Linked DNA regions of Saccharomyces cerevisiae S288C. The gene in region 1 interacts genetically with each later gene. Each region holds a gene or a part of one and is shown in the gene's direction. Other genes may lie near its edges.

Region 1 (5,630 bases):
CCTTTAAATGGTAGTATAAGTTAGGAAAGTCCTGATAGAACTTCCCCTCAGTAACCGTGTAAGAATTCTTGTTGTCCTTATTGTCATCGAAACGACTATTCAACCAGGTAACGTTTTTCGTCAAATTGATGAAAATAGACCGGGATAGAGTTTCCTGCTCTTCGTTGTTACAACATTTCCTTATTGCTAGATACAATGAGTTGTTCGCATACTGACTGAAAAATCCGGCTTCGTCTAGTTCGCTATAGTGATATAAACATCTCTTGTATATTGGAAGACGAAAATCGTTCGGTATCCCAAACCAATATAAGTTATGCTTACTTATCACCAACAGCAGGTCCGTCTCATCGCCAGATGTATGACAACTTCTCAAATTGCTCCAAAACTTTTCCAATTTTAGTTCTCTTCGAAATAAGTTTCTATTTTGAAACTTTAAATTTAAGATGTTCCTCTTTGTTTCCGATTTAATGAGGTTTTGTATGGATGGATCAGTATGAGTGCACAAGGTTTCATCGTTATTATTGGCAATTAATGATAACGATTCTTTTTCACTATTGATTTTCCTTTTATTTTCCTGAATCAAAGAATCTACACTCAAATTTTTTTGTGGTCTAATGACTAATGAAGATGATCCTGATGAGTTCCTGTTGTTGTTTGGAGTAAACAAACCATCAGAAAACACAGAAGACGCAGAAGAAGATGAAGAAGAGTACATCGTTGATCTGTGATTCGGCGAAGGGGCCACAGGACTCCCCTGAGAGTTTGCTCGAGGAATGGCAAAGTTGTCTATTATGGGGACAGCATAACTAATGAGATTAGTATCTTTATCTATTGTTGTGTCCAGAATTGTTGTCCAATCTGTGGTCCCGGAATGTAGGGCCTCTTCTTTCAAATCGTTTCTTGTTATTCTATGCCTGCTATGGAATAGCCGCTGACTGGGTGGTACGTACTCGTGCATGATATTATTAACCATGAGTTGTAGCTGTTTTGTTATATCCAAAGAATTTGGCTAACGTATCCTTGTACGCGTGATTTATTTATATATACGTGCAGCACAATATATATATATATATATATGTATGCGTGCGCTTGGTTATGGCTCAGTAAAGCGAAAGTAACGGAATAAGCGAGGGAAGGGGGATCTAGCGATGAGGGAATGGCAGTAACAGACTGTTCCCTTACAATACACTCTTGCTAAATTACATCAAGGATAATATACTATTTTAAAACAAAAACCAGCCATTTCCCTAAGGACGCGAAACTTTTGTGACGCGTTTCAAATAAAAAAGAATACTGCAAAACGCAGCACAATAATTAGATAAAACTAGTGGCATATGTCACTAATTAACTATATAGTCACTAATACTGTATATATAGCCGACACAGGCTACACAAAACACAAACGCAAAGGAATTAGGAATGTAGGTAGGTACACCGAGGCTAACTGACACTTCTGGGTCATGGACAAGCTTGTTTTTAGCACATCGTAAGGAATGTAACCACGCTTGAAAATAACAACGATACATATCAAGGTAGTTAGAGAGGCATTCCAGCCATAGATACGCAACCACTTTTTCAATCTGCTATTTGTATTAACTTGTAATTCGCTTGAATTCCAGAATTTATTGACGAAATAGACGAAAAGGGGTAGTTGCAGAACTAGCTCAAGGACTACAAACCAGTATAGCCATTCTGGTTTCTCTGATAGCAGGAAATCGTGTTGCTTTGCGATGTGATCACTAACAACCTTTTGCGCAATCCCTAGTTGCCATTTAGCGGGAATAACCACTGATGAGTCGATGAATATGGTGATGGGAATGTGAACGATGAAGTACCACAAGTAGAATTGTTGCTCACGATGTCCTAGCTTCATTATCTCCGGTCGCTTTTCTCTATATGTTTTCACGTGAGTGGCTCGTTTCTCGTACTTATTTGCTGCGGTTGTTCCTTTTATACCTACTAATTCGTATCCTGTACAAAAGCCGATAATTCTTTACTATGTTTTCAAAGGTTTTTTTTTTTTAAACGATATGCAAATTATTAATTCTTTTGAATATTTCTATGTAATCTAAACCACTTTACAATATACTATATGGAATACGTGGCGAAGAAAATTCCATTATCTCACCTCCGCTTCTTTCTCATCTCTTTCATTTTCTTGTAATGTGCCTTCCTACCGCTCGTAGATTTCTCCTGAATTTCGTTGTATTTACGCTTGAAATACTTATTAGAAGCTTCATCACCCATGAGTGTTTCCAAAATAGTCGACTTTCTTTCCTTCCTGTTCATACGACTACTATAAAACTCACTCTTGTCTTCAATTATGGTACCAATAGCAAACCTCTCTGGCACCTCCCAACGTTGCTTCTTATAATGTCTCTTTGGATCAAGAGCAGCTCTATGTTTAATCAGCAATAAATCTCGTTGAACTTCACGACGCATGTTATCATCTGGCTTTGGTAAGGTAAACCAGTCATTATCGTTTTTGTCGCTCTTGTTGGGTTTTCTTTTATCTTCTGTCTCCACACTAGGCAAGACGTTCTTCTTCTTCTTCTTGTTTGCTAAAGCATCAAATCCGGTTTCTAACTTAGGAAGCTTCTTAAGATTAGTTTCGATCTCTTGAAATTTACTTTCAATTTCTACTTCATCATCATTATTGCCTATCTGCAAAACATCCTCTTGTTGAAGAGAAACTTGTTCCTTCGCTGAATTTTTTACTTCTAGACTGGCACTAGCATCTCTTAGTGCTCCAAATAAGTCTTCCACACTTTGATCCATGTTTAACAGCTCCTTTCTCACGTCCTCTTTAATTGGAAAACTTGACGTCTCATCGCATTTTCTATTTCTTTTCTATCTTCTGTTTTAATATGCTGAAAAATTTTTAGGCCGGCACTAACCACGAATTATGATAAAAGAGAAGGATGTTTAGAGAAAAGGTTTTCGTGTGAAAGGGGGAATTGCGTTGTTAACTGACATAGCTGTCTTCAATGGAATCATAACAATGAAGTTCGAAGACCTCTTGGCAACCAATAAACAGGTGCAGTTTGCTCATGCAGCTACTCAACATTACAAAAGTGTCAAAACTCCAGATTTCTTGGAGAAAGACCCACATCACAAAAAATTTCATAACGCAGATGGCTTGAATCAACAAGGTTCTTCGACCCCATCTACAGCTACCGATGCAAATGCCGCCTCAACTGCTTCCACTCACACAAACACCACGACATTCAAAAGACACATTGTTGCCGTGGATGACATATCGAAAATGAACTATGAAATGATAAAGAATTCTCCAGGGAATGTAATAACGAACGCTAACCAAGATGAGATAGATATAAGCACCCTCAAGACAAGGTTGTACAAGGACAATCTTTACGCTATGAATGACAACTTTTTACAAGCTGTCAATGACCAAATTGTAACATTAAATGCAGCGGAGCAGGACCAAGAAACTGAGGACCCTGACTTATCAGATGATGAAAAAATTGATATACTGACCAAAATCCAAGAGAACTTGCTTGAAGAGTACCAAAAACTTTCACAGAAAGAAAGAAAGTGGTTTATATTGAAAGAACTACTGTTGGATGCAAATGTAGAACTCGATTTGTTCAGTAATCGTGGCAGGAAGGCAAGCCATCCAATCGCATTCGGAGCAGTAGCCATACCAACGAACGTCAATGCGAATTCACTAGCATTTAACAGAACCAAGAGAAGAAAAATTAATAAGAACGGCCTTTTGGAAAACATTCTTTAAGCCAAGATTAACATAAGACAAGTTTGCAAAATCCCCAACTTCACTTCCATATGCATATTCATTTAGGTATATATCGTATATTTGAGAAAAATTCATATATGAAACGTTATTAAAACATGAAAAATAGAATGTGTTATCGGGCTTAACTATATTCTGCCATTCAATGCGTGTTTCTTGACCATCTCTCGCACTACCTCTGACGGTACATAGAATGGGTTATGCTTCTTTGTCTTTTTCGTGTGCTCATATTGTCTTTGGTTCTCGAACTCAACCTCCTGGGTTAAATTTATATTAAAGAACAAGAAATCCTCTATGCTATCATTATTATCTTGAGATTCCATCTCAAATAGTTCAGAAAATCCGGTGTTCCCGAGGTCATCGTATTGCAATTTTTGTTTGTCTACCTCATTACTCAAATTGCTATTGGAGGTGCTTTTGATAGCATCACTACATTTATTATGAAGCATATCCATTAACTCCGTCCTGAGTTGTTCCGACGTGTGTCAACAAAAGGATTTACTAAGAATGTTGTATTTTGAGTTTTAAAAGGACGTGCATATGCACATACATATATATATACATATATGCGTATTTATCATCACTCCGTGCTGTTTAGAAGCTGCACATATTATGCATCTATCGCGATAGTATTGTGAGTTGGAGATAAAGATTTAATCATTTGTGCAACAACCGCTTTCTACTGTAGGCATAGAATTTCGCGCATCCCACCCCTTATTAACAATCACATTTTTTTTTTTTAATATTAATGACTCCGGTGGTCGTGATTGTAATCTTGATAACAATCGCGATCATGATCACGTTCTTTAGCCTCATTATCGAACAGTACTGGAGGTGAATAGGCACACCGTTTATCTAAAAGTTCCATGATCGTGGATTGGTCCCTCAAGATGGAATCATACGTATCTACACCACCGTATCTACTAGTGGTAAATCTCAAAATATCCCCAGTGTTGCCACGGTTCAAAACATCAATGTGGTCCAGTAATAGCTCATACGGATTCGTTCGTGGACGAGGCAGTGCTCCTCTATGAATATTGAACCGATGTTTAATTTTCCACATCTGAGATTCTAATTCAGAATAGTTTCGACGTCTTGCGTCCAATTCTGATTGCGTCCTTGGTTTAACTTCGTAATATAATTGTCTATGTAAGTCTTGGTATTCTTTGGCGAACATAAAGTGATTTGACCTTAATTGCAACTCCAAGCTGCTTGTAGTATATGGTCTTTTCATATCATTTGATTTATCCTTACTCGACCTTTTAATAGAAAACCTCCTGATGAAGTGTGGCACAGCAACCACTCCAAATTTTTCTAGAGGCTTTGTGGGCTTTGTTGAGCTTCTTTTGTCAATTCCAAGGCAAGAAAAGTCGTCTTCATCGGCCAAATATTCATCTTCAAATGTATGTATCGTATCATCAGGCAAGTGTTTATCATCGTAGCCTGTATCTGCTTTAGTTGGAGATTTTACTCGTTTTTGACCACCAGATGTATTTGCGTCGCAATTGCTAATGTATTCTGCACCTAAATACAACTTTTCTAAGTCCGCTGGTAAAGCTGGATCATTGACACCCAGTGGACTTGTCATCGTGAATCGTTGTGTTAAACTAATGAAAGAACCTTCCTTTACATTTTTGTCCACTCTGTTTTTGCCTTTATCTTGATCCTCGTTATCACCATCGGTAAAATCTTGGCCGCTATTAATTCCTGAAGCAACGTTAATACCACCACCAATCCTGCTGTCCAACATCGACAAGGCATGCTCACACCTTCCACCATTTATTGATAGCCCACTTAGTGTCAGTAACCTCGTATAGAATCCATATAGGAAATTTAAATTTGAACACGAAACACCATA
Region 2 (4,449 bases), on another chromosome or scaffold:
GTGGCGCAATTTTCTTGTACCTGTGGTAGAAAGGGAGCGGTTGAACTGTTAGTATATATTGGCAATATCAGCAAATTTGAAAGAAAATTGTCGGTGAAAAACATACGAAACACAAAGGTCGGGCCTTGCAACGTTATTCAAAGTCATTGTTTAGTTGAGGAGGTAGCAGCGGAGTATATGTATTCCTTTTTTTTGCCTATGGATGTTGTACCATGCCCATTCTGCTCAAGCTTTTGTTAAAATTATTTTTCAGTATTTTTTCTTCCATGTTGCGCGTTACGAGAACAGAAGCGACAGATAACCGCAATCATACAACTAGCGCTACTGCGGGGTGTAAAAAGCACAAGAACTAAGCCAAGATCACAACAGTTATCGATAAAATAGCAGTGTTTGCATGGCCATTGAGAAGGACAACATTGGCGTGCGCGCCAATGTTGTCTCACCATGTAGCTCCAAACGAGTTGTAAGAGACGGACCGCTCACGCTTCCGAAGCGGTCAGAAAACGCTTCCCAGTATGCAGTTGACCTACATTCAACCTGCAAATATTGCTTTGCTTCAAGAAATGATTACACAGACGTCTATTTTCTTCTACATAATGCACGAAACTTGGGCATTTAGTCATGTAGCCGCCTAGCGAGCCTGGGTGCCGTCCTATCTCCTTTGTTCGTGCAAAGAGACAGGAACACACACTGCGTTCTCTTGCGGCCGGTCTGGCGGACTCAGGGGTGCGGCGTTTGCTTAACCGGAGGGAATAATAAAATCGGGGTGACGCAAGTATGAAGTCATGTGTGCTTAGCAATTACGTAGAGGGATTAGAAATAATAGTGTGCGGTTATCGGAACCGGCTCTTGTTCCCGTTTAGAGCAACCCAGGTGCAGGCGTACTTTAAAGTATTTTCTTTCTTTTTTTTCCTGCTACTTACGCTAGGAGCTGCCGCAGCTGCAAAGCCGACGTCGGAGAGGCAGGTGATCTTCGGCTCGGCCGACAAATCCCCTGGATATCATTGGCCTGTCGAGGTATCGGCCGCGTGGAACTACCGGGAATTACTATGCAAAACAATTGGAAATCTGGTAGGAAAACCTTGTTCTAGAACTTGGCGATTGCTGACAAAGAAGAAAAGGGCCTATTGTTGCTGCCTCTTTTGTTGTTCTTCCTCGTATTGTCTTGCCGGTGTTCTTTGTGTCTTTTGTGTGTAGGTTCTTACTATTATAGTGCTCTTTGCTATTATATTTTCTTCGTTTTCACTTTGCGTAATGTAACGGTCTTAAACAAAGTTTTTTTTTTTTCGCTCTTGCATTTTCCTTTTCTGCTCTATCTTATTTGCTAATTGTAGTTTCAGAAGTTTTACTTAAATATAGCACTATTTTCCAGTTTTAATGTTTCTTCTCATTGCTTTCTTTTATAATTTTCGCATATAATTATACATTTACGGTGTCTTAACTCTCCCTCTTCACCCCTCATTATTCCAGAAAATACTAATACTTCTTCACACAAAAGAACGCAGTTAGACAATCAACAATGAATCCTAAATCCTCTACACCTAAGATTCCAAGACCCAAGAACGCATTTATTCTGTTCAGACAGCACTACCACAGGATCTTAATAGACGAATGGACCGCTCAAGGTGTGGAAATACCCCATAATTCAAACATTTCTAAAATTATTGGTACGAAGTGGAAGGGCTTACAACCGGAAGATAAGGCACACTGGGAAAATCTAGCGGAGAAGGAGAAACTAGAACATGAAAGGAAGTATCCTGAATACAAATACAAGCCGGTAAGAAAGTCTAAGAAGAAGCAACTACTTTTGAAGGAAATCGAGCAACAGCAGCAGCAACAACAGAAAGAACAGCAGCAGCAGAAACAGTCACAACCGCAATTACAACAGCCCTTTAACAACAATATAGTTCTTATGAAAAGAGCACATTCTCTTTCACCATCTTCCTCGGTGTCAAGCTCGAACAGCTATCAGTTCCAATTGAACAATGATCTTAAGAGGTTGCCTATTCCTTCTGTTAATACTTCTAACTATATGGTCTCCAGATCTTTAAGTGGACTACCTTTGACGCATGATAAGACGGCAAGAGACCTACCACAGCTGTCATCTCAACTAAATTCTATTCCATATTACTCAGCTCCACACGACCCTTCAACGAGACATCATTACCTCAACGTCGCTCAAGCTCAACCAAGGGCTAACTCGACCCCTCAATTGCCCTTTATTTCATCCATTATCAACAACAGCAGTCAAACACCGGTAACTACAACTACCACATCCACAACAACTGCGACATCTTCTCCTGGGAAATTCTCCTCTTCTCCGAACTCCTCTGTACTGGAGAACAACAGATTAAACAGTATCAACAATTCAAATCAATATTTACCTCCCCCTCTATTACCTTCTCTGCAAGATTTTCAACTGGATCAGTACCAGCAGCTAAAGCAGATGGGACCAACTTATATTGTCAAACCACTGTCTCACACCAGGAACAATCTATTGTCCACAACTACCCCTACGCATCATCACATTCCTCATATACCAAACCAAAACATTCCTCTACATCAAATTATAAACTCAAGCAACACTGAGGTCACCGCTAAAACTAGCCTAGTTTCTCCGAAATGATTTTTTTTTTCCATTTCTTCTTTCCGTTATATTATATTATACTATATTCCCTTTAACTAAAAATTTATGCATTTGGCTCCTGTTTAATAAAAGTTTAAATCGCCTCAAAAGAACAATTGAAAAATATGTAAAATAACAGCAAATAAAAGTCAAAATTAAAACAAAGTACCCAGAGACAAAAAAGAAAGAAAAGAAAAAAGAAACAGTCTACAAATTCTATTTGAATATATAAAATTATATTCTCAATTTTCACGTATATATTCACCTCACAAATAATATCATTCCTTTAAAAAAAAATATGTATTATTGTATAATGTTTCAGCATAGTCGTTTTTTAAGCCCTTTTTTTTAAACTTAAAAAACAAATCAATGAGATATTGTATACCTATATTATCGATAATAAAGCGACGAGGATGGACTGCAAGATATTGGTGTTAGGCGCAGGTGGTCTAGGATGCGAAATCCTGAAGAATTTGACAATGTTAAGCTTTGTTAAACAGGTTCATATTGTAGATATAGACACAATCGAGCTAACCAACCTTAATAGACAATTTCTTTTTTGTGATAAGGACATAGGCAAACCGAAAGCTCAAGTGGCAGCCCAGTATGTAAACACGCGGTTCCCTCAATTGGAAGTTGTGGCGCACGTACAGGACCTGACCACTTTGCCCCCGAGCTTTTACAAAGACTTCCAGTTCATAATCTCGGGGCTGGACGCCATTGAACCTCGTCGCTTCATCAATGAGACTCTCGTGAAGCTTACCTTGGAGTCCAATTATGAAATTTGCATCCCGTTCATAGATGGTGGAACAGAGGGGCTCAAGGGACATGTAAAAACAATCATTCCAGGCATCACTGCATGCTGGGAGTGCTCCATTGATACCTTGCCCTCGCAGCAGGATACTGTGCCAATGTGTACAATCGCCAACAATCCTCGCTGCATTGAGCATGTTGTGGAGTATGTCTCAACTATACAATACCCTGATTTAAATATTGAGTCTACGGCGGATATGGAATTTCTGCTGGAGAAGTGCTGCGAAAGGGCTGCCCAATTTAGCATCTCAACAGAAAAATTATCAACAAGTTTTATCCTGGGTATAATAAAGAGTATCATACCTAGTGTAAGCACTACGAATGCGATGGTTGCAGCGACATGCTGTACGCAGATGGTTAAGATTTATAATGATTTAATCGACCTGGAAAACGGCAATAATTTCACTTTGATTAACTGCTCAGAAGGGTGTTTTATGTACAGTTTCAAGTTCGAGCGGTTACCCGACTGTACTGTTTGTTCAAATTCCAATTCCAACTAGTATTACTAATGAATAATACCATCCGCCGGTGTCACTTGTTTAAACATCTTGCAAGTAAGTCGAGATCCTAGAGAGCCTTGTACATGTGATTGCACAGTAAAGAAGGTATGCAGGCTAAATTATTGTTTACCAGACTAAACTTTAGACGTCCCTCCACAACTTTACGCCAGTTTCCCCTAACATGTTTTTTATTTCATAGCAAAGCATTTTACTCGGATCTGGTCACTAAGGAGCCGTTGATCACACCGAAAAGAATAATAAATAAGACGCCTGGGTTAAACTTATCTATTTCTGAGAGGGCTTCCAACAGACTAGCTGAGATCTACCGCAATAGTAAGGAAAATTTAAGAATTAGTGTGGAAAGTGGTGGATGTCACGGTTTCCAGTACAATCTAACTCTAGAACCCGCTACCAAGCCAGATATTAAGAATGATGTCAAAGACAAGGAGTTTTCAGACGACCTTGACGATGATGATTCCAAGGATATAATATACGTGTTACCCGAAGATA
Region 3 (7,123 bases), on another chromosome or scaffold:
TAGATCACCACTCTTCAAATCTCCAACTGCCAGTTTCGAAATTGGCGATGCTACGGATGTGGAGGAGCAAGATATTGATGACTCCATTTTTTCTGAATGTAGCAGCATTACAAGCTTTGATATGGGAGGGTTGCATATCAGTCTACCACACGATGAAGAAGAAGATCAAGAAAAAACTAAGTCCGAAAGTGAAAACCCGTTGCTACATGGCATACCGGTTGATGTAGAAGTGCCCCACATATCGGTTGATGAAGCTCTGGCGAATTTCAAGGAAACCATAGAACTACTACTAAAACTTAGTGGCAATAGAAAGTGTACCGGTTTCAATACTAGAGTGGAGAAAAAAGAATACTCGAATTTCTACATGAAAAGTAAACCCACCTTATCATCAGCAGATTTTCTCAAGAGAATCCAAGACAAATGTGAGTACCAGCCAACTGTTTACCTTGTGGCAACATTTTTAATTGACACGTTGTTTTTAACAAGGGATGGCAATAACATTTTGCAGTTGAAGTTAAACTTACAGGAAAAGGAGGTCCATCGAATGATAATAGCAGCGGTTAGATTGAGCACGAAATTATTGGAAGATTTCGTTCACTCACATGAATATTTTAGTAAAGTATGCGGTATTTCGAAACGGCTTTTGACTAAATTAGAAGTCAGTCTATTGATCTGTGTGTGCAATACTAAATTAATGGTCAGTAACAGGAAATTAGCCGCCTCCAAATTACTTTTGAATGAACTACGGTCCTTCTGTGTATAGTTGATACAAGTATTTTAGATAATTATTTTAACGAACGTAACGAATGCTTTCCAGTCAATAGCGGCACTGGTAATATGATACAAACAATTTCTCAATAAAACAACGACAAACTTAGTCTGTTTATATTTCCGTGCAATGGTGGAAACCTGTACTCGATATTGGAGAAAACTTCAGAGCTTCCCAACAGTTATCCCGGATTCTTAATTGATGCTCTCGAAACGCACATAAAAATGTGATTTTTTTACTCGCATTAAATTACTGTTGAATCTATGGTTCAAACAAATGTATATTTGCCTACACATCTTTCTCTGTCCCTTCTGTATTGTCTAACCTTAAAATAGAAATATTTCATGGTTTTATTTCTTTTAAGTTTATTATCCATTTTTAACGTGGTGAGAAAACCCGAAATGAAAAATAATAAAGGAAAATTATAGAGGAAAAAAAGTGTAGAAATAGAAAAAAAATAAAAAGGATAATACCGATCAGAAAAATCCTCTTTCTTGCTCTTCTTCTTTTCTTTGTATTTCTCCTGAAAAAATTCAGAAAAACATATATTGGGTTAAATACATAACTATTTAAAAGGCTGTAAACAATTCAACTGACATTAGATACATCACACTCAATTACTGTTGGAAATAGGCAGATATATCCAGATTTTTACAATTACTATAGCACTTCCATTGAAGATATATAAAAAAAGAAAATAACAATAGGAGGAAGTAAAGAAAGCCGTTAATAAACAATGGTGTTATATAAAAGGAAACCTATATTACTTCCTGATCCAAAACCTTTACCATTGGATTTGAATGTACAAGTATGGCATATTGAAGAGACTGGAGAATGGTTTTCTAGTTACGAAGAATTTTTAGAAAGGTTTGATTTCTACACACGCCACCATTTTACATGCGAAATCACTGGTACTTCTTGCCTGACTTTTTTCCAAGCTCTGGATAGTGAGGAGACACAATTCAAATACGTCGAAGACAGATTCCCATTAAAGTTGAGAGAACCAGTTGCAAGATTTTTACATTTTAACGGAATAAGAAGGTTAGATGCATTGGTGGAGAAAGTTTACGCAAGATTTAAAAATGACTTTTTCCCAGGAGAAGTTGTTTATCTACGTAAACAGAAAGACTCTTCTACCACAAGCTCTAATTCCCAACAAAGTACTCCTCAACCTGATGATATGGTCGAAATCAACAGTGTTGGTAATCCTGGCTTACCGCAGTACCAATACCAAAGACGTTATGTTATCAAAGAAAAGGTCCAATTTAACGCAACGATAAATCCAGAGAGCAGGGAAATTGTGATGCCCGCTCATACTAAATACATGCTGATAGAAGAAGCAGCTTCCAGTAATAAATCCTTCATTGTTGATCAAGGACAAATTTACAGGGACCGTTCCACTTTCACTAAGCACTTAATCAAATGTTTTTTCAAGATTACTTTACAGAGGGCATCTTCGAAAATGGGTGCACCTTGGTGTGTCAAACCGGAATATTTAGCGATGTATGGTTTAACGATGGAATGGCCAAAAGATATGTTAAAATATAAAGAAGATGAACCTGTCGTAGCAAGACGTTCCAACAGTGCCAATGTTTCATCCCCAGAAAGTGAAAAGAATAAACGTCAAAGTAAATCATCGGGTAAAAGTAACACCTCAAACGATGCTTCTAACAAAAAAGAAACCAAGAAAAAAAGAAAGCCAACCGAAGTAAATGATTCTGAGAATAATTCTTCGGAAGAAGACAAGAAGAAGGGTCAAAATGTCACATCAGAAACACATTCTAAAAAAAGGAAAAAGGAAGCCAATGAGGAACCGAACACGGAAAACGTCGAAAGCGTTCCTACACCAGCTAATGCGGAGCCTCAGGCTGTAACAATAACGAGCATAATGGATGACCTAGCTTTGCCATATCAACATCCACCGAACATCTTTCCAAACTTAACGTATTATAATGAAAAATTAGAATGTATTTCATTAGGTTCTACAAAACTTTCCAGACCTTTTGATTCTTTTGGAAAGCTATTACAAGCCTATCAGTTTCTGAATACGTTTGGTTCGAAAATTTGTCTCTCTCATTTTAGCCTTGACCAATTCATTACTTCTTTGAAATGTACAGACCCATATGAGTTAAAGGGCGAAGTTGTTTTAGTGAACATAAGAACGCAAACGTCTAAAGAACAAGAAATTGAAAATAACGGCCTGCCGATGAAAAACAAAGCAGAGACTACTACTGAGGAAGACTCTGAAAACCCAAGTGACTGGCAAAGAAATTCATTTATTCGTGATATGATAATGAAAAGAAATTCCGACAAGGTTGAGTACAAGATTGTTCACGATGACCCAGCATCCGATGATATACTTGATAATATCAATCATAATGGGTCTGCTCTTCTCATTGAAGTTTTTACTGCGCTCTTACGTTTGTTCATCAACGAAGAAGGCGATTGGAGTTGCATCGTCGTTGAAAACTGGATAATAGACGACAAGGGAGTCCTTATGGAGAGAAAAGATGAAAGAGGGGAGGGGGAGGCGAAGCAAAAACGAAATGCTCACGGATACTTTTTACAAGATAAGGAAAAGATCGACAACCTAAAGGACACATTAAAGGAAAACGCAACAGAAGTTCAAAAAGAATCAGACGCTAAAAACGAAACAAATTCAGAATCTGATTCTAAATCTGATTCTGACAGTGAAGAACGAGATCCTAAATTAGAAAAGTGTTTGAACTACCGCAATGTTAACTGGATAGAACGCTTGACGAAAAGGCAATTTAATAACAGTTACTGGCTAATAATTTTACTGGGAGTCTTAGAAGATTGTAGACATCTTCCCATGTATACAGAGTTTATTGATTCTTTCATAGAAAAGATCATACCCAAAGATATATCAGCTACTCAATTGCCCAAACAGCTTTGGAGAAATTTCTGTCGAAAGCTGTCGTTCAGTGACAAAGTCAATGCGCTGTGGATACTTGTAGATCTCGTATCGCATTTTTCTCCAGATATCAAAGCTGCTGTAGATGATTCCATGGAACTATGTGGTCAAATTCGTAGCGAAAGATTCAAAGTTGCGAGAGAGTTGAAAACGGAGGCAGCCGTCTTAAGTAATCTTCAAGGCGACCTGCAGGCAATTCAAGAGAAGTTAAATAAAACAGATGAAAACACACCATCAGCCGATGGTGCCGATAAAAAAGATGATTCCGAATCAAATAGTGAACCAATTGATCTTATTATCATTGAGAAAAAGCAAAAGTTAATTGAAGAGCAGGATAAAAAGGTACAAGCTTTACAATCAGATAAAAATTTCCTCGATAATTGTCTATTTGAAAACGATCTACAAAGATTAAAGCCGTTGGGATTGGATCGATACGGGAACAGGTATTTTTGGCTGGATCACAATGGTGTTCCATTTCCTCAATATCCTGCTGGTATGAATGAGACGCCGAAAAGTAACAATAGTTTGAGTTATCACTCCGGTCGTTTATTAATTCAGGGACCTAAAGCATCATCGGCGAAATTCTTTTTGAACGTCAGTGATGAGCAATTGAGCAATTGGCAAAAAATCAGAAATTCCGAAGGAATATCCGAGGCAACTAGGGAAGTATTTGGTATCTCCAAAACTAGTTCCGGATCTTATAATTACGTAGAAAATGGAATAGAGGTCGAACTATTGGACAGTAATGATCGCGTAAACCCACTTATAGAGCTGACACCTATTCAAAAGAAAATTATGGATGAAACACCTTCAAGGTTGCTACTATCACCAGATCAATGGTATTGCATTGACAAGTTAGAGGACTTGTCAAGAATAATGGACTGGTTAGATAATTGGGGTCGCAAAGAGCATGATCTCTTGAGGCAAATCAGACCCATAATGGAACGAATTAAAAGTTCCCTTAGCTTGCGCGACCATGCGCTGTCACTGACAGCATTCACCAAAAATGAAGAAAAGTTGCTAAAGGAGTTAGAAAATAATGAATTTACCGAAAACGAATTGAACGTTGATAGTATGGATGTTGATGATAAAAATAGCGGTGTTAAAAGTGAGGTTGATGTACAGGTTGATGCCGAAGAGAAGAGAGAAGCTGTGATAGACGAAAAGTTGGAGGTGATTGCAGACGAACTCATGAAGCTAGATGATAGCTCGAAAACACGCAATGTTCTTAATAGAATACAAGAATTAGAAGATCAGAGAGATGAACTCTTGGAACAGAAAAAATCCATAATAAATTCGCAGAGGCCAGGCGCGAGGATTTTAGCCCGTTCAGAAAGGAAAAGAACCAAAATCTCCCGTGGTAATAAGGTGAATAAGCAGATTGAAATATTGACTGACTTAGTCAATTATAGACATTTTAAAGCTATGGAAGATGTGATAGCTTGGAAAAACGTTTTAGCAAATTCGATATGGGGTTCCTCACTTCGCAAAAATGCATCTGGTAATAAAAGGAGTGGTGTCATTGAAACAGTAGACGATAAATTAAAAGATATAGTGGGCCAAACCTCAAGAACAGTAACACCTGCCCCAAATTAATATATAAAAAACTTCCTTTGTAACTGATGGTAAATTGTAGTATTCATAAATAGGATAAGATTATTCATTGTAAGCATAATGGAAAAAAATAACACAACAAAGCCGCGCAAGATTGGACCATACTTTCTATCTAAGGTAACTATCACTTACTGGCTTGATGGATGCGTATTTTTGTCGGTACCAGCTTCTGAAATATCGATATCAAACATAGCTGGCTCAATTCCTTCCATCAATTGCTGGGTAATTTCGACTGGTAAACCGTTATCGTTAGAGATATTAGCAGATGCGCTATCAAAATCGAGTTCTTGGGCACCTGATCTCAAATTGCAAGAATGGCAAATAATATCTTCATACCAGTATAAACTTTTGTTTGTACCACAATGTGGGCAAGTCCTTTCGAAAGGAAGTACGTAAATTTTGGGTTTAATAGCAGAGTCGTGTGAGTTTCCTGGCATTTCGCCGTGTCGCAGTCTAAGCTGTTCAAAATATCTCAACTCCACTAGACTATGGTCAGATTCGCACTTATAATATCTGCAGTATTGTTCTATGTATGACAGAGTATGTTGAGGCTTGTACGATAATGGATAAAGTTCGTTTCCTTCTAAGCTGATATCGTGTCTATCGCATATTAGTATAGGTCTCAAAGTGTATGTATCGTTAAGCTTGACATCCTTTATGCACGGTAGAGTGGTGTCTACAGACATATTTTTCTTTTCAAACATAAGCTTAAAATTGGAGCTGTTCTGTGCACATGTAATATGATACCTATATTGGCATTTGTTACACTTCACTAACCCACCTCCATTTATCCTGCACACACCACATGTAAATCTACTATGTTTAATAAGCACAGCAGTGGTATTAAGGGCAGGTTGCATTGATTGTCCGTTTCCATATTTGATATCTTCATTGAAAAGTGAGCAAACCAAATGCACCCATGTCCCTAAGCTCGTGCATTTCAATGCGTCTGGACATATTTTAAATGATTGGCTCCTATATCTATCATAGTCATAGTCCTTCGTAGGACACATACTACATTGGTAGGTCGTTGATATTATAGGATTGAGGTCATTTGAACAAGGGTCACATAACCATTTAAATGTCTTAAGGTTAGTGTTTTTCTTCATATCTTTCGGCAGTTTAATAGCATAACAGAAGTAGTGTACTGTAAGTCCACAATTACCACATACTACCTCATAGTTGTCATTGTCGTTAAATTTTTCTTTGCAGACACTACAAAAAGTCCTTGCGCTATTATTTGCCCATGCTGTATCAGGATTTTTTGGTTTATTCTTAGTGTGTTTCAAAATCATGTCTTTCTCTAACATTTTGCTCGGTTTATTACCATCATGGTATTTTTCAAGGGCGACAGAAGTTTCCTTAGAATGTGAAATAACTGTATAATTGTACGATGCCCCGTTTGGTTCGTTTAACGGATTACTTAACGCTATGTCATTGATCATTTTGATCTTCTTCGTTGAAGGTTCATTATATTTTGGCAGCTTATTATTCACTAACTTTAAGCTATTCCGTAATCGCTGAAATGTTTTGTTATCAAATTTGACAAATTTAAAACCTTTATCTACAGACACTGAACCAGAAGAACTGCCGCCTGTTTTAATTGAAATTTCTATCAAATCATTCGAAGCATTAGTGATTTTAGGAATATTGTTATTACTAGCCTTCTCGATAAATACATCGTTGCACTTGCGATTTCGGCTTGTATCACTTGTTTTGATAGTACCAGGTGATTGTCGAATTATGTTCACGGGAAATTCGTCCTTTGTGTTTTTCGCTCTTTCTGGCTTTTGTTCAGGGATGGC

Evidence for each region.
Region 2: mutations in IES3 (region 1) and ROX1 together harm fitness more than expected from each alone (negative genetic interaction), as found in Saccharomyces cerevisiae (2 studies listed by BioGRID).
Region 3: mutations in IES3 (region 1) and ITC1 together harm fitness more than expected from each alone (negative genetic interaction), as found in Saccharomyces cerevisiae (4 studies listed by BioGRID).

What each region holds. Positions count from the first base shown.
Region 1 is NC_001144.5:244,200-249,829, forward strand, and holds IES3 (Ies3p), read left to right. Parts: upstream 1-3,001; coding exon 3,002-3,754; downstream 3,755-5,630. Other genes in the region: MLO50 (Mlo50p), read right to left, coding at 1-973; EMA19 (Ema19p), read right to left, coding at 1,388-1,873; FCF2 (Fcf2p), read right to left, coding at 2,125-2,778; NRS1 (Nrs1p), read right to left, coding at 3,901-4,227; OSW2 (Osw2p), read right to left, coding at 4,518-5,630. UniProt on the Saccharomyces cerevisiae protein: Probably involved in transcription regulation via its interaction with the INO80 complex, a chromatin-remodeling complex.
Region 2 is NC_001148.4:678,174-682,622, forward strand, and holds ROX1 (Rox1p), read left to right. Parts: upstream 1-1,519; coding exon 1,520-2,626; downstream 2,627-4,449. Other genes in the region: YPR063C (uncharacterized protein), read right to left, coding at 1-20, 107-147; YPR064W (uncharacterized protein), read left to right, coding at 778-1,197; NEDD8-activating protein UBA3, read left to right, coding at 3,040-3,939; ISA2 (Isa2p), read left to right, coding at 4,047-4,449. UniProt on the Saccharomyces cerevisiae protein: Transcription factor that represses the expression of HEM13, COX5B, ANB1, CYC7 or AAC3 (hypoxic function). Binds to the DNA sequence 5'-RRRTAACAAGAG-3'.
Region 3 is NC_001139.9:256,202-263,324, forward strand, and holds ITC1 (Itc1p), read left to right. Parts: upstream 1-1,505; coding exon 1,506-5,300; downstream 5,301-7,123. Other genes in the region: PCL10 (Pcl10p), read left to right, coding at 1-763; DNA-binding E3 ubiquitin-protein ligase SNT2, read right to left, coding at 5,447-7,123. UniProt on the Saccharomyces cerevisiae protein: Functions as a component of the ISW2 complex, which acts in remodeling the chromatin by catalyzing an ATP-dependent alteration in the structure of nucleosomal DNA.